Caenorhabditis elegans: one gene and its partners. The protein of the gene in region 3 purifies or fractionates together with the protein of the main gene of each other region. This does not show direct contact. Each region holds a gene or a part of one and is shown on either strand. Other genes may lie near its edges.

What was found.
Region 1: the proteins of hmgs-1 (region 3) and rml-4 fractionate together in Caenorhabditis elegans (co-fractionation; one large-scale study listed by BioGRID). This does not show direct contact.
Region 2: the proteins of hmgs-1 (region 3) and rml-5 fractionate together in Caenorhabditis elegans (co-fractionation; one large-scale study listed by BioGRID). This does not show direct contact.
Region 4: the proteins of hmgs-1 (region 3) and hpd-1 fractionate together in Caenorhabditis elegans (co-fractionation; one large-scale study listed by BioGRID). This does not show direct contact.

What each region holds. Positions count from the first base shown.
Region 1 is NC_003280.10:4,293,371-4,299,493, reverse strand, and holds rml-4 (dTDP-D-glucose 4,6-dehydratase), read right to left. Parts: upstream 4,394-6,123; 5' UTR 4,393-4,393; coding exon 4,153-4,392; exon of another isoform or gene 3,898-4,152; intron 3,759-3,897; coding exon 2,874-3,758; intron 2,400-2,873; coding exon 2,257-2,399; intron 2,104-2,256; coding exon 1,982-2,103; intron 1,182-1,981; coding exon 1,102-1,181; intron 1,036-1,101; coding exon 610-1,035; 3' UTR 544-609; downstream 1-543.
Region 2 is NC_003279.8:1,791,729-1,796,957, reverse strand, and holds rml-5 (NAD(P)-binding domain-containing protein), read right to left. Parts: upstream 3,705-5,229; 5' UTR 3,699-3,704; coding exon 3,594-3,698; intron 3,167-3,593; coding exon 2,990-3,166; intron 2,337-2,989; coding exon 1,851-2,336; intron 1,608-1,850; coding exon 1,505-1,607; intron 898-1,504; coding exon 617-897; 3' UTR 534-616; downstream 1-533.
Region 3 is NC_003283.11:5,682,216-5,686,463, forward strand, and holds hmgs-1 (Hydroxymethylglutaryl-CoA synthase), read right to left. Parts: upstream 2,375-4,248; 5' UTR 2,373-2,374; coding exon 2,268-2,372; intron 2,224-2,267; coding exon 2,095-2,223; intron 2,045-2,094; coding exon 1,892-2,044; intron 1,846-1,891; coding exon 1,620-1,845; intron 1,574-1,619; coding exon 1,339-1,573; intron 1,292-1,338; coding exon 1,103-1,291; intron 1,049-1,102; coding exon 837-1,048; intron 788-836; coding exon 648-787; 3' UTR 506-647; downstream 1-505. Other genes in the region: prp-39 (Pre-mRNA-processing factor 39), read right to left, coding at 1-70, 354-415; F25B4.4 (Elongator complex protein 6), read left to right, coding at 2,673-2,842, 2,888-3,008, 3,065-3,325, 3,376-3,480; F25B4.7 (ADP/ATP translocase), read right to left, coding at 3,664-3,783, 3,831-4,077, 4,126-4,199. UniProt on the Caenorhabditis elegans protein: This enzyme condenses acetyl-CoA with acetoacetyl-CoA to form HMG-CoA, which is the substrate for HMG-CoA reductase.
Region 4 is NC_003281.10:10,533,594-10,538,228, reverse strand, and holds hpd-1 (4-hydroxyphenylpyruvate dioxygenase), read right to left. Parts: upstream 2,704-4,635; 5' UTR 2,682-2,703; coding exon 2,271-2,681; intron 2,109-2,270; coding exon 1,812-2,108; intron 1,200-1,811; coding exon 726-1,199; 3' UTR 546-725; downstream 1-545. UniProt on the Caenorhabditis elegans protein: Key enzyme in the degradation of tyrosine.

The DNA of each region.
Region 1 (6,123 bases), on a different chromosome or scaffold from region 3:
AAAAAATATCGTAAATCTCCCCCGCGTCGTCTCTTCCCTGCGAGACCTTCTCCGAGCGGAGTACGCAGCGTGTCGGATTCTAGGCAATCGCGCCGTAAATCTACACCACTTTTTTCTTGGTTTTATTTATTTTTCTTCGTTTTTTTTTCTATTTGCACCTGTTAGTCCAAAACAAACAATATTTTTGTGTTTTTTTTGTGTTTTCCTCTTGAAATTTAGCGCCGATTTCTTTTTCGATTCCTTTCATCTCGATTTTGCTCGGTTTTTCCTTGTTTTTTCCTCGTGTTTTCCTCTAGACGCCTCAGGCTTTATTCTTTTTCAGCTATTTAAAATCTCAATTTTTATTCAATTATCACTTTTTAATCCATATTTAAGCAGTTTTTACGCGTTTATTCGCTGATTCAAGTTCAATTTTGCTCGATCGACGGAAAAAACACGCAATAAATTTCGAAAATTACCGAAATATTTATATAAGGATGATAATCAAATAAAAACGAAAATTAGCAAATTTTGAATATTTCAGCTTAAAATAAGCATTTTTCTCCACCTTTAAATCGTTCATTAGTTAAATTTAAAAAAAACATTCCAAAAAAATTGTTATAAATTATATTATTTAGCAGCACTAGTCATTTCGCTGAAGTGCTTAATAAGACTTTGTTTCGCCGACAAAACCGGCGCCAAGGACTGCAGTTTTTCAGTGTCCAATGCGCAATTTCCCTTGGTTGCCAGAAGATGTTGAGCACGTTCAGTTTCCACTCCAATTGATGTAGGATTGACAGTCTCGTCGACAATCTCCTTATAAATCTTCACAACTTCGTAAAGACTAATTGGCTCCGGATTGACCAAGTTCAGAGTTCCACCGCTTCGTTGTTCCATCAAATTGCACATTGCATTCATACAATCTGGAAGGATGGTCAGTGACACTGGAATATCAAATAATTCCTTGTATTTGATGATTTTTGATAACAAGTTTCGTGGTTGTTCCAAGTCCAAACTGAGTGGAAGCGTTATTCGTACATTGAGGTTTTCCCAGCCCTTCAAAAAAAAAAAAGAATTTATGAAATAATTCTTATCTAACACTTTTTCACTTTTTCAACTCACATTTTGATTGAAATAGTTCATTTGTCTGTCGGTGAATCCTTTGACAACAGAATAAGCGGAACCAAAGAATGTCGGCTCGTCTGAAAGCAACATTTTTCCGCAAAGATTTTTGGTGGAGGAGAGTCAAAAATTGCTGGGAATGACAGAAATTTGGTCGTAATCAGGGGTTTGGCGGCAATTGCCGGTTTGCCAATTTGCCAGTTTGCCGATCTGCAGGAAATTTTCGATTCCGGCATATTGCCGATTTGCCGGAATTTGAAAAATTTCCGGCAAATTTCCGGTTTGGCGATTTGCCAGATATTTTCAATTCCGGCAGTTTGCCGATTTGCCGGAAATTTTGATCCTCTGCAAATTTCCGGTTTGCCAATTTGCCGGAATTTTTTTTTCAAAAATTTCAAAATAGATGTAGGAACATTCCTAGTATGCGTACAATTTTGCCGATTGAACTGGAAATTTTGAAATTTCCAAAAAAAAAGTTCAAAACCACAATTTGCCGAACATTTTCGGCAATATGCCAATTTGCCAGAAATTTTCAATTCCGACAGTTTGACGATTTGCCAGAAATTTTCGATTCCGGCAAATTGCCGGTTTGTCGATTCACCGATTTGCCAGAAATTTTCAATTCCGGCAATTTGCCGATTTGCCAGAAGTTTTAACTCCGACAATTTGACGATTTGCCAGAAGTTTTCGATTCCGGCAATTTGCCGATTAGCCGGTAATTTTAAATTCCGGCAATTTGCCGATTTGCCGGTAATTTTCGATTCCGGCAAATTGACGGTTTGCCAGAAGTTTTCAATTCCGGCAATGTGCCGATTTGCCAGAAATTTTCAATTGCGGCATTCTCCTTTAAAACTATAAAAATTATATTTTTCCCACAAACCTTCCTCTTTGAACTCAGCGCCTCCAATCGGGTGTTCCTTATCATAAGCAAACATGTAACCAGTGCCAATGTACGTATAGTGCAGCCCCAATTTTCGACACATGTGCGCCAAAATTGTTGCGCTGGAAAAAAGCGAATTTGCCGGTAATTTTCGATTCCAGCAAATTGCCGATTTGCCGGGAATTTGCATTCTCAGCAAATTGCCGGTTTGCCGATTTGCCGGTACTTTTCATTACCGGCACAGGTGCCTACTATCAGTTTTCTCGACCACCTACCTATACATATTATCCCTGACGTTAATGAAAACCTTATCAGCTCTACCCTCGAGGTATTCAATAGTATTGCAGCCGGGCCCATGGGTTCTTCCAGTCACGCAGATCACGTGGGTCACTCCAAGAAGGGCAAGTTCTCTTTCAACCTGGAAAAGTTTAATATTTTCCATTTTATGGTAGTTTAACGCTCGAAAAAAAAATTGCCGTTTTCCCGGAATTTTTTAATTTGCCATTTTGCCGATTTGCCGGAATTTTTTAATTTTGGCAATTTGCCGTTTTCCCGGAAATTTCCATATTTGGCAATTTGCCGTTTTCCCGGAAGTTTGCCGTTCTGCCGGATTTTTTAAATTTTGGCAATTTGCCGTTTTGCCGGAATTTTTTAATTTTGGCATATTGCCGTCTTGCCGGAAATTTTCAAATTTGGCAACTTGCCATTTTGCCGGAAGTTTTCAATTTTGGCTTTTGCGTTTTGCCGGCGTTTTCCAATTTCGGCATATTGCGGATTTGCCGGAAATTTTCAATTTTGACAATTTGCCGTTTTGCCGGAAATGTTCAGTTTTGCCGATTTGCCGGAAATTTTCAATTCAGCAAAACCACATTTTTCCATCCTCTCCTCCTACCTCTTCATCACTATCAAATCCGACTTTTTTCGTTGCCAACACGTATGGAATGTGTCTATCATTGAGCACGTGCTGCAACTCCTGACCAACATATCCCTTTCCTCCATAGATTGCCACGTGCATCTTCACATGTTTATGTTCCTTAAGTGCCGACGCAACAGTGTGACGCATTCCATCATCAAACGAGGTCGTTGGCTCCCAGCCGAGATCATTTTTCGCCTTCTCGATACTTATCAAATAGCGAAGATCATTGTACGGACGATCGGGAATCGATTTGTATTTTGGTGGCTCGTGGGCTCTTCCGAGTTGTAGATCAACTTCTTCTTGAATCGTTTTCGCTAGATCAGCAACATTTTTCTCGTAATAAGTCCCCAAATTGTAAATCTCGTGGAGTTCTCCTTTCTCACAAACTGCCTTCAATCCTGCACTAGCATCGTCCACAAAAAGCCAAGAGCGAAGTTGCTTGCCGCTTCCTTGAATTGTGTATTCCCCACGGACCTTTGCAATCTCAATAAATCTTGGAACCACCTTGACATCCCACTGGTTTGGCCCATAGATATTGTTCATCCGGGCAGTCACAATTGGAAGGTTGTACTGAGTTTGGTAGGCACGGACGTAGGCCTCTCCGGCGATTTTAGTGGCAGCATACGGATTTCCTGGAACAAGTCGAGAGAATTCCACTTTTCCTTGTTCATTCTCCGAGAGATCAGAGTCCCCGTAAACCTCGTCTGTACTGATGTGAACGAATCGTTTGATCTTTCCGTAGGTTCTAACAGTTTCCAAGAATTGGATGAACGATAGAACATTGTTCTGAACGGCTTCAGCGGTCTCATTGTAGCACCGAGTAGAAGTACAGTCAGCGGCGAAATGGATTACGGTATCGATCTGAATTTTAGCATTTAAAGATGGTCATTGTGTCATATGAAATAGGATCGTTTAGATTGGTAACTACAAAAAATTTAGGAGCTGGGGAGCACCTTGAACTAGAAAAAAAATTTCTCCAACTGTGGATTTTTGCCAGCTTTCGATGATTTTTTGGCTGTTTAGAGGTAGGTAAACGTTCTGAATACTTTTTGGAAATTTCTTAAAAATTCCAAAAAGCTTTCAGAATGTTTGTCCACCTCTAAACTCTGAAAATCATCAAAAGCTGGCAAAAATCCACATCTGGAGACATTTTTCTAGTTCAAAGTGCTTGCTAAATTTTTTATAGTGACCTATCCAAAATGTGCTCTTTCAAATGAGCACAGGTCTCATTTAGAAGAAGCTCTCCAATCCATACCTCATTCTGCTCAAAAACGTTGAGAATCGCCGCCTCATTCTTGATATCAGTGAGTACCAACTTGTACCGTGGGGAATTTCTCACCGACTCTGCCACATTCTGAGTGTCACTGTTCAGAATGAGCTTGTCGATGTTCACAAAATTACACGTCGGCCAAGCATCGTGAATGTAGTTGACAAAGTTCGAACCGATGAAGCCACATCCGCCGGTGATAACCACGTTTTTCGGGGTATAGACCATCCTGGAATTCAGTTGAGAATTATCGAGTAATTTCGTCGCGCAAGAAATACGGTACCCGGTCTCGAAACGACAATTTTTTTTGTAAGCTACAGACGAGTGTGCGCCTTTAAAAAGTACTGTATTTTCTAAACTTTCGTTGCTGTGGTATTATTTTTAAATCGATTTTTCATAATTTTTGATATATATTTTCAAAGAAAAAAACAATGAAAAATCGATTTTGAAAAAATCCGCAACAACAAAAGTTGAAAACTACACTACTCTTTAAAGGCGCATATCCGTTTGTATTTAACAATTGTCGTGTCGAAACCAGGTACCGTAGTTTTAGCGCAAAATTTCGCAAATGAGTAATAAAATGCGGGATTTCGACAACAAAAATTGCAAAATTCTCCTTTTTCACTAGTATTAGTTTGAAAAAATTTCGTTTTGAAGGCTAAAATTTTGAAAAATAGCACAATAAAACGTTTGGCAAAGCTTTTGGGTAAAAATTTCGGAAAAAATATTTTTTTTTGACTTATTTCAATTAACTATCAAAAATGGTATTTCAATTTTATAAATTTTCAAGATTTTTTAGCCTACAAGACAAAAAATTCAAAGCAAAAAGCTGTTCAAATCCCAAAAATCCAACAAAAAGTGGAGGACTTGACCATACAGAAACATGTATACATCTAGGAGAAGATAGATAGATAAAGATTTTTCCACGGGAATCAGAGATTTCGAATATTGATATAGAAGAAACGGAGACTAGGTTAAGGTCATTTGAGAGGGCTATGGGAAATCGATTGAACGGCGTATCTGGTGGGGGAGAAACGTGGAAAATTGATGAAATTGGTCGATTGCACCATGTTGTTAGACTAAAAATTAGTGTCAAAATATAGAAAATTACTTGATTTTTCCATATTTTTACACTAATTTTTATTGGAAAACACATGGTGCAATCGAACAAAAAACACAAAAAAAGTGAACATTTCGGTCTCTCCAAGTGATGATCAGATGTACAGTCCATCAGTAAAGTGTGAATCATTCTCCTTCCGGTGCATCAACAAAAAATTGTGAAATTCTCACCCAAATTACAGGCCAATTACAGTGTGCCCAACCCATAAAACTCGGTTTTTGGCAATTGCCGGCCAGAAATTCTACAATATTTTTCATTAGAATTCAGTGATAGATTATAGAAAAAACATAGGATTCATTTGAAAATTGCCGTTTCTTCTAGTTAAAACAATAGGGAGAACGCTCAAAAATTGTCTGAAAGTTGAATTTGGAGCGTTCTCCCAATTTTTTTAAACTAGAAAATAACTCGATTTTCATATAAATCAAATGTCACTGAATTTTGATAGAAGTTTGTCCTTTCCCTTGTCAGTTTTTTTGTTGGAAATTTCCAACTAAAAGTGACACCTCACAGAGAGAGAGTACCCCGTCCTTCTAATTAGCACCACCAGCTGATCATGTATTTCTTCTGCTGAACTCTTCTCACAAAATGAAATTGGGAACCTAGAGACTCTTGAATTCTCGGGTTTCTGTTTGCTGCTGCTCTCTTTTCTCCCCCTGCTCTCTCTCCTGCCATTTAATGGTTCAGCAAAGCCATTTTTTGATGGAAAATGGCGCAGAGGCGAAAAGTAAACATATTATTTTTCCATCATTTTCCCCTACTTTTCGTTCGAATATTTTCCCACCGACTTCTTCTATCAACTCGTTTGATATGGAGTCTTGGAATTTTTCGAATTTTCGGTT
Region 2 (5,229 bases), on a different chromosome or scaffold from region 3:
AATTCGGAAAGTCGGCAAATTGCCAGTTTGCCGATTTGCCGGAAATTGTCATTTTCGGCAATTTGCCGGGTTGTCGATTTGCCGGAAATTTTCATTTCCGGTAAATTGCCGGTTTGCCGATTTGGCAGAAATTTTCAATTCCGTTAATTTGCCGTAAATTTTCAATTCTGGTAATTTGCCAGAAATTTTAAATTACGGCAATTTGCCAGTTTTGCCGATTTGCCGGAAATTTCAAATTGCGGCTATTCACCGGTTTGCCGATTTGCCGGAAATTTTAAATTCCGGCAATCTGCCGGTTTGTCGATTTTCCGGAAATTTTCAATTCCGGCAAATTGCCGGTTTGCCGATTTGCTGAAAATTTTAAATTCCGGCAAATTGCTGGTTTGCCGATTTGCCGATTTTCCGGAAATTTTCAATTCTGGCAAATTGCGGGGTTGCCGATTTGCCAGAAATTTCCAATTTCGGCAAATTGCCGGTTTGCCGATTTGCCTGAAATTTTCAATTCCGGCATTTTGCCAATTTGCCAGTACAACACTAATTTCAAAATTTATTGATTGAAAAAATCGCAGAAAAAGGAATGCTTTAAGTTCAAAAATAATTTGCAAAAATTCAATAATTAAATATTATTATTAAGTCCTCCAGTCTTGCATGCCTTAATCGATTCCAGCACGTTTTTATCGATTTTCTGTCCAATTATGAGCGTTTTTTCGAAATATTCCAACATTTTCCCAGTGTATCCTTTAACGGCAAGAGCTGAAGACTCTTGGCTCATAGAAGTATTTCCAAAATGGGTGAAGTGTAGGGAGAACTTTTCGGCAATACTTGCGAGAAGCCATGGAAAATAGAGATTAGTCGCCATATTGGTACGGAGAGTGAAGCAGTCGCCTTCGAATGAGTCTGGAATTTGAAATAAAAAGCTTTTTTTTGGCCCAGAATTTTTTTCTCGGTGAAAAAATATTTTAGCGAAAAAAGCTTTGATTGAATTTTGAGACAAATTTTAAGTCCAAAAAAAATTTTTTTTTTGACATTTTTGAATTTTTTTAAAGCATAAATTGACATAAATTTCGACCAAAAAGATTCTTTCGTGGCCTAAAAACTTTTTGCGGCCACTGGCTTCCCTCATAAATTGAAATGGAAGAGTTTTTGCCGAACTAGGCCATTTTGGCTCGGCCATATCTGGGGTAGATTTACGGCGCGTTTCGTGTCGCGTCGCGGCTTGATTTTAGTTGTAAAACTAAATGTGTTTGTCCGTGTGGAGTATACGACTTTCCCACACGTTTTCCGGCGGGCGATTGTCAATGGAGCGCGAAAAATTCAATGAGAAAGGCCAGAACCCGTGATTCGTGAAATTGAATTTTGAGACAAATTTTAAGTCCAAAAAAAATTGTTTTTTGGCATTTTTGATTTTTTTAGCGTAAAAAGAAAAGCATTTCCGACCAAAAAATATAATTTCATGGCCTAAAAACTTTTTGCGGCCACTGTCTTCAGCCACCAAGTCACTTACCGGTTTCATTTCCGAAATAAACCAAATGGGATGGATTGATTGTGTTAATCTCATCGATAACCGATTTATCAGTGGCTTCTTGCAGATTTGTGATTGTGGATTCCTGGAAATTAGTTAAGTTTTGACTTTTTGAGAGTTTTAAAAATTTAGAAACGAATTTTAGACACTTTTTTTGAATTTCCCGCTTAGTTTTACCCCTGGAGCAGCAAATTGTCGTAAAGTATGGTGTTTTTTTTTTTGAGGCTACCGTAATACAAAAGACGTAATTTTTAGATATTTTCTGCAAATTGTCGTAAAGTATGGTGTTTTTTTGTGGCTACCGTAATACAAAAATTTGAGATCAAACCTTGGAAACCAGTCCCTCCAGCTTTAGCAGCTCCAAAAATTGAGTTTTCAGTTCCGAATTAGCTCCGAAAACTAAGAAAATTGGCTTAAAAACTTCTTCGATGGGTCCCTGTTCCTTTACAGAGCCAGACGGGCTCCAATTCGTTTCTTTCTGAATTTTTTCAGCTGAAGAAGCCGAAATATTGTAGACCTCCGCTGGTTTTTGGCTTTGTGCCAACTTTTCAATTGCCAATAATCCACGTGTCGCGTCAGAAATCGATAAATCATCGGATACCCTTCCGATGACCATTGGAATACGATAACTGACAGCATAGCTGTGAGCCATTGCTTCAACGGACATTTGAGCTGAGCCGATGAATGTGACCGGCTCTAGAGGTTGGGTCTCGACACGATTCTTCGCCCTACCGTACACCTCGTCACCACTAATGAGAACCAGAGATGGTGGGGATGCGGATTTACGGATTGCATCGAGGATTGACGTGATTCCCTGAAAAAAATATTGATTTTTTTTTAATTCTAGGGGTTTGTCAACTGAGCGCGCGTGCTTTTACGGAAATTTTTCAAAAAAATTTGAAATTTCTGAAAATTTCTGCAATTTCGTGAATTTTCTAAATTGTTCAAAGATTTTTGGAAATGTTGATTTATTTTTAAAATATTTTTTTGTATTTTTTTTAGAATTTTAGAAAAGATATAAATTTTTCAATTTTTCTCAACCTTTTTTTTAAAGAAACCTCTGGAATTTTCTGATTTTTTTTAAAGCATTCAACATTTTCTAGAAATTTCGGACTTTCAGGTGGTGTCAGAGTGTCTCATTTTGGCTTGATCTACGTAGATCTACAAAAAATGCGGGAGAAGAGACGCAGATGGTTTAGAACGTGCTGACGTCACATATTTTTGGGGGAAAAATCCCGCATTTATTGTAGATCAAACCGTGATGGGACAGCCTGACACCACGTGGACTTCTGGAATTTTTATTTTATTTTTCAAAAAAATATTCCAAATTTTCTGATAATTTCTGACTTCCCAGGAGTTTTCTGGATTTTTTTTTTAATTTCTGACTTTACGAAATTCGAAATTTCTCTATTTTCACGTGGAGTACACCCAATGTTTGCCAATAGAGCATGTTTACTAAAACCTTACCAGAATCAATTTCTTAGCTCCTTGAATTGGCTCCAAGAGCACATCAGTTGTGGTGAGAGATGCGTCGAAAATTGTTTGGATTTTGTAATTTTCGATTAGATTTTTGATTGCTTCCTCGTTGATTGATGATAAATTGATAAGTGTGAGCGATGGATTATTGATCAGATTTGTTGGAATCTGGAAGAGAAATTTGAAATAATTAGGCCATCATGAAATTTCTCGGCCACCTGAGAATTTCTAGGCCACTCTAGCATTTTCAATGGGAACCATTTTCGCTGTTCGGCAATTTCGGTAATTGCCGAAAATTCAAAAAACCGGCAATTGCCAAAATTGCCGATTGCTGAAAAATTTGAGAACCTGCAATCGCCAGAATTGCCGGAAATAAAAATTTCATACTTTTTGTAGATTTAGGAGCCTAAAAATGCAATTCCGGCAATTCCGGCAATTTGGACAAATTTGGGCAAATTTGCCGAAATTACCAATTGCCGGAATAGGAACGTTAAACTTTTAAGGCCATTACAAGGATTTCTCGGCCAGCTGGAAAATCCTATACTACTCGATAATTAAAAATTAATTTTCGAAAATTTTGTAGGCCACCACTTACCGCCTCATTATTGTGCAGAAGAACCACATTTCTTCCGTTTTTTAGCACCGCCTCCGCAAGTTGAGTAGATATTTTTGAAATCCCGCCGGTAATCAAAACGGTCATTTTTCACTGAAATTTCGAAGGTTTAACAAAAAATCTGCAACGCCTAGCAACGGAGTGTCGCTTCACGGGGTTCTGGCCTTCCTCATTAAATTTTTCCCGCTCCATTGACAATTGCCTGCCGGACTGGGAAAGTCGTGCACTCCACACGAACGAATACATTTAGTTTTACAACTGAAATCAAGCCGCGACGCGACACGCAACGCGCCGTAAATCTACCCCGGATATGGCCTGGCCTAGTTCGGCAAATTCTTCCATTTCAATTTATGAGGGAAGCCAGAACCGCGTGTCGCTTGTCAAAGAAATTTTTTAAAATTAATTTTTTAAAATGTGTTTTGGGAAAAAAATTTTTAAAAAAAGCAAATTATTTTTCAAAAAACCGTTTCCTCAATATGTTCAAAAACCAAATTAATTTTAAGATGAACATAAATTCTCCAAAACAAAAAAAAATAGAAAGTCGAGAATGAATACAGTTTCTGTATGACATATCGCGGTCAAGGACGGCAGCGCAGAGATCGCAACGAACAGATAGAAGTGAGAGAGTATTGGTAGATGAGAGCCGCAGAGAGACATGCGAATGAAATCGAGATAGATCCAGGACATTGATTGTATACTCTATCTGCGACAATAGAAGTTTTGCAGCCACGTAGCATGAAAAACCACAGCATTCAAGTTTCGCGCGCCAAAATTCTTTCAAAAAGTTCTGAAAATTCTGAAAAACTTAAACTTACAAGGGCCAAATAAAATATATTTTAACTAAGTTCCAGACTTCTAAATAAAACCTAATTCGTTTGAAAAAAAACCCCATTCTAAATAGGCCCCTGGTGCAAAAAAAATCAGTGGCAGAGTGTCCCATTTCGGTTTGATCTACGTAGATCTACAAAAAATGCGGGAGAAGAGACGCAGAGTTCTCAACTGATTTTGCATGGTTAAGAGTGACGTCACATTTTTTTGGGCAAAAAAATTCCCGCATTTTTTGTAGATCAAACCGTATTGACGGACTGAAACCAAGTGGGAGCACAGCTTTGAGCTGCAAAAAAGTCGCTCTGAAAAATTTTCAGTCTAGTCGCCACTCTAGTCGCCAGTTTGGTCTGAAAAATTATAATTCAATTTTTAGAAAATTCTAGAAGTTTCCAGATTTTTCTAAAAAAGTTGTTTTTTTTCTCAGAAAATTTGAATTTCAGCCAAAATTTTATCACAGAAGATTTTAATTCCCACCAAAAAATTTTCCCATTAAATTTGAATTTGAAAAAAAAAAACTAAATTTTTTCTTAAACTACAGTACTCCTACAGCACCCCCTACAGTACTACTACAGTACCCCGGCTATACCCCCTACTAACCTCAAACCAATATCTCTTCAAAAGACAAAAAGTCAATTTTTCCAAAACTACAGTAATCCTACAGTACTCATACAGTACCCCTACAGTACTACTACAGTACACTGACCATATCCCCATACTAACCCTATACCAGTATCAATTCATAATATTTTTTAATATATAAATAATGATCTTCGCGGCAAATTTTTTTTGA
Region 3 (4,248 bases):
TCGTCGATCTCGATCTCGATCCGAGTCCCGATGCCGATCGTCGCGACGGCGGTGTGAATCTTCTCTTTTTCTGAAATTCTAATTTTGGATGGTTTACTTCTGAGGGGCCGATGGTGCCATCAGGATTTTTTACTAGGCATGTTTCATGTGAAAAAATTCAGGAACGGTGAGATATGAATTTTAAGCGGCGAAATTTCAGAACCGAGCTTGCGGTGAGTTTTTGAAGATGCTCAGAGCAGTGGTTTCGTGGGGCTCACGAAGCTTCCCACAAGCTGTTCTGGAATTTATATTTAACCGCTTCACATCATGGTCCTCCAAATGAAACATGTTTCGTTCAAAAGTCCGGTGCATACCTGCTGCTGCTGGAGCGGTAGTAGTCGTCTGTGTCCGAGCTTGACGACCGATCTCTTCCCATCTTAACTTTGAAATTAAATTGAGCCGTTCGAGAAATGGAAAATATTGTCGTGACAATAGTACACGTGTTCAACAAAATCAATTATCAGAAAAAAACAACTCGTTTTAATTTAAAAAAAAGAAAAGAAAATACAACTCTAATGAGCGAATAAAAAACAGTAACAAAGAAGTAGACTATGGCAAACGATGTGATAAAATTAAAAACTAAAAAAAAAAAAACAAAAGATACATTTTTAATGATGAATTCCGTTCCCGTTTTGAACACCGTTTGGTTCCTCGTGTAAAGTATATGATCGGCGATAAAGCTTGTCCATGTTATCAAGGAAATAAGTGTTGGGAAACAATGAAGTTTCGGATGGAGATTTTGGAATCTCTGAAAAACAAAATGACATTAAAAACCAATCACTATTAGAATTACTCACCTTTTGATCGTAGGAAAACTTCTCTTTTTTGTAATGTTTCTGTAAACTCTTCTGGAGTAAACTGAATTCGGTCATCGAGCCTTTTAATCGCCCTTATTGCGACTTGACGAATTTTATCAAGATTAGATGTCTGCCTAACTCTTCCTGGGAAAATTGCTGACGCTAGACCACTTCCATAGGCGAAGAATAAAATGCTTTTCTCCCCGGTGACGCTGAAAAGTAATTTTAAAAATTAGCTCTAAAAATCGGTATATTCTTCATCATACCAATCATCTGCTGCCAAGTATGCTAAAAGTTGAGCAAAGAGTGATGGAGTATACATATTTCCGATTCGCCTGTTGAAAACAAGATATGGATCTGTTTTTTCCTTCCAAACTTGAGCAGACAATTCGATCATTTTTGCAAGTCCAGCGCGATCGTTTTCATCGAGTTTATGATCGACACCATTTCCATTTCTGAATAAAATAAACATTTGAAAATTTTTCTAAACTAATCAACCTACAATTGCTTGTGACGAAGTTGCGAGTCAGTATAGTTCATCACAGCCAGGCCTTTTTGAACCATTTTCGTGAACGGTGAGTGAAGAAACACTCCGTCAAATGAGTTCAGCCCGTCGATACCCGTTGTATGGCGATTAACTTTTGATATGAAATATGTGTATGTCATTCTGACTGCTTCCAAATATGAGCTCAATGATAATGATCCATCGACAACGGGGTATTCACTCGGAATCGGCGCTGGAATTTAATTTTTTAAAAGTAAATAGAGAAATTAATAGCTTACTAATTGGCTTAAAGAAATCCCACGTGTTTTTCATGTGACACGCTGAAAACTGCCGATCAATCGGAATAGAAGCATCTGGACAAATAAGAAAAGCAATCGCTCCTGCACCGCCTGTACATCTCGCTGGACCTTCTTCATATATTGCAATATCCGCGACTACTACAATTGCGTTTTTCTTATCAAGCGGATGATTCACTGTGACCCAATCGATAGCGTGCAGCAGTGCCTGAAAATATAATTGAAGATTCTATTTTGAGAGACAAAAAACTCACTTGTGCGCCTCCAAAGCAGGCATTTTTGATGTCGACTCCTTCAATATCCGAATTTCCAGGAAATAAGTCCATTAAAGCTGTCTTCACACTTTTGCTCTTGTCGATCATTGTTTCGGTACCTACAACCAAACAGCCAATCGAATCAGTCGAGATCTAAACACACTGAAACTGAGGAAACTAAGTACTTTGATAGCGAATATTACTTTGTAAGTTTCAATAAGTTTCCTTGTGACTGTAAGGGAGATGGATACGATGTCCTCGTTGTCCGAGCAGAATCCCATTTGCTGTTGCCCCAGTCCAATTGTGTATTTTCCGCTGGATACATTGTTAAACTGCAATTTAGGAATCAATATTGAAGAAATAATGGTATTAATACCTTTTCTAAATCATTTTGATCGACAAAGTTCTGGGGAAAATACAACTCAATTGCTCCAATTCCAACATCCGTCACTGGTGTATATGACAATTGACCCAAGCTCATGCCTGCAATAAACTCTTTTTTAAATGTGAATTGCAAAAAATCACAAAAAACGATGATTTATCGACGAAAAGTGTTCATTATGCAAATTTGCCAAAAAAACAGTTTTGAAATATCAAAATGCCCGTAAATGTCGTCGAGGCAACGGCTCTTCCCTGCGAGACCCAAGGGAGGGGAAACCGATTTACGAGTCATTTGTACTCCTCTCGGACAAACTAAAATTGTATCATTTTCATTTTTCTGCAAAACTTCGTTTTCTTCATTTGATTTCATACAAAAAAACATTTTTCAGAAAAAGAAAAAATGCTGAAAATTCTAAAAGGACAAGAAGAGTCAATTAAGGGCTTGATTGTATGTGAAGAAGTGGATAACGCGTCGTCACTCCCATTTGTTCTTCATTTCCTTTCTACAGCTTCGACTTCAAGTCAAAAAGTCGCTATTGTTTCGACCAAATTGTCTGAAACAAATTACAAGTGAGTAAATCTTTATAAAATGGAAAGTAAAACTAATTGTTATAGACTGATTTGTTCGAAGGCTGGAGTTCGATGGAATCCCACTCAAATTAGTTTCTACGATTTCTTGAAACCATTCGAATTATTTGATATCACCTCTGAACAAATTATGGACGAGTTGTACAAGGTATTTCAGCATATATCTTTTTTCGAATAAAAATTGTTTAACTCAAAATTTTTCAGAAATTAATTGATTCCTCTGCGTCAGTTATTCTCTTCGATGATCTTTCAATATTGGAGCAATTTGGAGCAACTTCAGTTGAAACTACCATTTTCGTGCACAAAATCTACACACATTTAAAGACGTTATCACAAGAAAATGCGCTTCTTCTCGCTTCTTTCTCTATCCATTCGAATGCTGTGGATATTCTGAAACCCCGCTGCCACGTATTTGTCCAGATGTCGCCAGTAAGCCATGGTTTTGGAAAAGATGCATCAGCAAAGGTTCGTGAAATCTGCAATATTGTCGTTCATTAGTTATTGTTGAAATTCAGGCGGTGCTCACTATCAAATCACCATCTGCTCCAACATCAACGAAAGGAATTCTTCTTTCCGGTGAACGCACAATCAATGGATCATATATAACTGTGGATCAGTGATCTTGTTTTGTTACTGAATAAAAAAAATGATTCAAAAAAAGCTTTTCTTCGTTATCATAACAGAAAACAATGGGCACAGGCTTCAACATACAAATTTACACGTATTTCTAAAAGAGCCTGATTTTCGAACAAATAAGAGAATGCACTAGAAATTTTAAAGATTATCTATATTATGGAAGGTTGTCACATGTACTTCTGAAGTTCATTGTAAATCGCCAGAACCAATGCTGCACCAGTTCCACGAATCGCGTTCACCAGGGCTCCATGGAAAAATGCCTTGGGTCCTTCCTTCGTGTAAATGTACTGAAAATAAATAAATCTTTGTCCGAGAAGCAATTAAATGATCTTACTTTGATGCAGGATATTGTGTTATTGAACGGTAACGTCTTCTTTCCAGCACCCATCATCAGTCGTCTTCTTACAGTATCCAGTGGATAAGATGTCATTGCAGCGATCAGAGTGACGACTTGTCCAACAAGAAATGCTTCAGTAAATGTCATCTTTCCGTCACTATTCATATATGGAGCCGTTGTATCGAACAGACCATAATATGCTCCTCGATAGATAATCATGTATTGAAGCGATGGAATCAGACCTCTGAAAAATAAATAATTTGAAATCAGTTACACAAAAAAAATCAGTTACTTGTATAAGCCTGGAACTCCGTCACTTTTAATTATTTTCTTAGCACAATCGAACATTCCCGTGAATTCGCGATCCTGAAAACATTGAATCGTTAGAAAATTTAATTAATTAAAAAAAAAAACT
Region 4 (4,635 bases), on a different chromosome or scaffold from region 3:
TTAATTTTTTTGTGCACATATTTGGGTACGACACTTTCCGTTTTTTTTCTCTATATTATTTGCCCTTTCCCATTCCCCAGACCATTCCTCAGAACCCCCTTTTCCCCTTCCATTTCTTTGTCGAGAACAATAAACACGTGGCAGAGTTTGAGATTGTTAAATGGTTCGATGAGTATTTTGAATTATCAGGAAAGACGTTTCCAATTTTTAAAAATTAATATCTGGCTTCAAACTAACTTTTTCAAACATCCCCGTAGCCATTCTGTTGCAAATTTTGTGTTCATTCAGAATGTAAAAAAAACCAAATAAAAAAAGTTTCATATCCGCTAAGTTCAAGCAGAAAAAGTGGATTTTCAGTCATAAGTTTTAGTGCACAAATTGAGATTGACTAAAGCCGACCATTTATATGCAAAATTTAGGGCTCTCATGAGGTCGCCGTAACGGTGCCTGCGCCTGCCTCATGGCGTCACCTCGCCGCATGTGTTAAAAAGCAGCGGCCGACGACCCACGGGTTCCACATTTGTTTTGATATTAAGACTCAACAATTCTTTCATAAAATCTTTATTCTCTCAATATAAATGCAACAAGAATCAATAGAAAAAACAGGAAACCGTTGTGGGAATGGGTATCTTTGTTAGGGGGAACTATAATACAATCTCATGGCACATGGAATTCACTTTGGGTCTTGGCAACGAAGTGTCGTTGCAAAATAAAAAAAATATAAGTTACTTAGTATTTCCATCCTTAACATTATCATAGAACAAGTTGCCTCTCTTTGTCTGTTCCAATTCAATAGACTCGAAAAGAGCCTTAAAGTTACCGGCTCCGAATCCTTCATGATTCTGTCGCTGAATAATCTCCAAGAATAGTGTCGGACGGTCCTGGCATGGCTTACTGAAGATTTGGAGCAAATACCCATTCTCATCGAAATCCACCAAAATGTGCAACTTCTGAAGACGATCCATATCCTCCTTAACTACCATTGAAGAAGCCGCGAGACGTTCCTTGAGGTTATCGTAGTAGCTTGATGGAATGGAAAGGAATTCACAGCCACGGGCTCGAAGAGCTTCAATTGCAGTAATGATGTCGGATGTGTTGAGTGCGATGTGTTGAACACCGGATCCTCCGTAATAATCCACGTATTCCTGGATTTGGGAGATTGCCTTTTTGTCCGATGTGGCTGGCTCGTTGATTGGCATCTGCAAAATTTTTGTATTAAAAGTTTAAGCATTTTCTATGTTATTCAGTGTTTTTCAGAAAATAATTTAAATTATTTTGTCAATTTTCTGGAGAGCCAGAAAAAAAAACACAATTATTTGAAAATTCAATTATTTTCCCAAAAATCGAATATTTAAAACATTCGTCGTATTCAAATTAAAAAATGGTTTCTGAAATAGATGTTGAAAATGTTTAGATACTCAGTATTCCATATTCAAAATGCCCTGGAGGACTACACGAAAATTACAATTATTCATTTCCCACGTAGAGTACACAATTGTTCCACAAGAAAAAAAAATTAAAACCCGCGATATGTCGGCTGCTGTTATTTTTCTATTGATTATAAAGACTAACTAGCAACCGACATCTCATAGGACACCGTATTTACCAAATCGATATCTTGATTTTTTTTTGTTGAAAATTACTAATATGTATTTTCCACAAGAAATCTTGCTATAATTTTTTGAATTAAAAAAGGTCGTGCGTCTTTTTAAAACCCGCGATTTGTCGGCTGCTGTTTCTTTACAATAAAAACTAGCAGCCGACATCTCACAGGACAGCCGCACTCCATCGATCTCTTTATATTAACTAACCTTAATAGTCTCCTCGAAATTCGTTACAACAATGGAACGAAGAGCCGAGTACTCGGTATGAATCATGGAATCATCAACAGACCAGAATCGATGGAATTTCAGCACCTTCTCGTACCACTGAACAGCTGAGTCCATTTGCAAGTCTGGCTGATTACCGACACAATGATCGAGGAAGTTCAATCCAACGCGTGGAAGAGTCTTGAAGAATGTGGCTGGCATTGGATGAGCCTTGAAGCCGGGCAGGAATGCTCCACGATAATTTTTACGTTCCAGCAAGGTGTGGTCGGTTTCTCCATACTAAAAATAATATTTCATTGTTTGGATTATTAGAAATTTGCATTTCTCGTCAAAATTTTTTCTCAAAAATTTTTTAATTCCACCAAATTTTCCTGGTCAATCTTCAGTGCAATTTAACAACTTCGGAATTTTTGAAGATATTTTTATTTTTAAGTCTCTTACCGTTCTAAGCGTAGCATATCGAATGGATCCATCAGCATCTGACTCTTCAGTAATATCATGCACAATAGTTGCTCCTGCAGCTTTTGCGTGTGCAATAATCGAATCAAGATCCTCAACCTCAAAGCACACATCCTTAACTCCATCTCCATGTTGAACAAGGTGATTTCCGAGTTCTGAATTATCAGGCAACAATGCTGACTCGAAAATGAACACGATTTTGTCTTGTCGAATAGCGTGTTGAGCAGTAATTCTAGATCCTGTCTCGAGCCCCTTATAGGCAAATGGCTCAAAGCCAAAGTTTGCACAATACCAGTAGGCAGCTTGTTTAGCATTTCCGACTACAAATCTAACATGGTCGAATGCAACAAAAGTGCCGATATCTGGTTTTGCTCCTTTGTCGAATGTAGTCATTTTGATTGAAGTTTTGAGTTTTCTGGAATTTATAGAGTTTAAGGATAAAAAAGGAAGAAAAAAGTCCAGGGGGGTGGGCAGCAATTGCAGTTCGGCAAATTTTTTTTTCGAAAAAATTCGGCAAATTGTCGGTTTGTGGACTTGCCGGAAACTTTGATTTTTGACAAATTGCCGAATAACAATTTGCCTGAAGTTTTTAAAGGGATGTTTTATAAGACGGAAACTAAGCCTTTTTGGAAATTTTTTGCCCGTTTTTTCGAAATCTTTTCATGGAAATTTTTTGCTTTTTAAAATAGATGTAGGAGCATTCATAGGATACGTACAATTATGCAGAATTAAATTGATAATCTTTGCCGATTTAAAAATGATAAAATTGATAATCTAAAATTTCCAAAAAAAAAATGTGCACAGCCACAATTTGCCGAAAATATTCCGTAATTACCATTTTTGCGGCAAATTAGCAATTTGCTGTTTTGACGGAAGTTCTAAATTCTGTCAAATTGCCGGTTTGCCGAAAATTTCCATTCCGGCAATTCAATTTTTGTTCAAATGTTCTATATAAAAACATCAACTTGAGTTACAGATAATTGCAGATTTAATGTTAAAAAAATTGGCCCGCAAGTCGTCTGCCGCTTAATGAACGGAAAAAATACACCACATCTTGTTAGTAAACGTTTTGAAATTTAAACTCTTTCTGGAAAATCCCTTAACCGGCATTGTATGTCTTGAAAATTGGGGTGGCATAAGGGTTGTCTAAAAACAATATCGAAATAAAATTTTTTTGGAAATATTTTAAAACTAGGTAAATATAGTTTACAAATAGTACTGTATAGTAACAAATGTAACATAAAAGCTTTAAAACTATGTAGCATATGAAAAAATTCATTTGACAAAGCTTTGTAGTTTAAAATTTATAAATATCTACAATATGAACCGAGATACAACTCGCCAAAATGAAAGAGAGAAAGAAGAAGAAAAAACTGTAAACAACATCTGAGTGCTAGTAGACTATAGTGGCACTGTGTTACTGCACATAATGCAAGTGCCGACTTTTATAGCACCCTCACGCAAAATTCGGATCGTCACGAATTTCGTCGTCGTCGACAAACTGAAATGAGTCGACGTCGAAAGGGGCGGGCTGGGGGCGGGGGAAGTTGGACACGTGACATTGAGGAGACCACAAATAGTGATGCAATGTGGTCAAAAGAAACTGATAACGCACGTGGGTCGGCATCGTTTCGTTGAAAGATGCTGCTGCTGTGGAGACCCTAATTTGGCGACGAAACTCTTTGAAGATCGGAAGATGCTTGAGGGGAGGGGTGAGAAGAATGGTGAGGTGTCATGGGAGTTTGTAGTCGGAATATAGATGTATAGTATTTTGGTATATGATCTTATCAATGAGATCGAGTAGATCAAATCACACGGACTAACTGTTCAACGTTCTTCAAATTTGCGGGAAGTTCAAATTTTAAAGAAATTTTTTTGGCGGGAAATTCAAATTTTTTGAAAAATAATTTTCAGCGGGAAAAAATTTTTGAGAACAATTTTCGGCAGAAAAACTTAAATTTTCTGAGGTAAAAATTTGGCACGAAATTCAAATTTCTGATAAAAATATTTTTGGCGGAAAATTCAAACTTTGTGAGAAAGACAATTTTTAGTGGGAAATTCAAATTTTCTGAAAAAAACACCCGATTTTTGTTTCACTTTTTTTTGTTTCCGGGCTCACTTTTGTAAAGCTTGAGCAAAAACAAGTAAGGTAAGTATAGTGCCACGTGGCAACATTATTTTAATATGATATCAATAGAGATATGATAATGAATCATTCTCTGTCTACATTTCATCATCATTATCCGCGTTCTTCCACGCGTACCCTTATAAATCAATGACACCACCACCCGGTTTATCAAGATAGGCAGGATTCCTGACCCATCATTTTCCAATTGACACGTTTTCA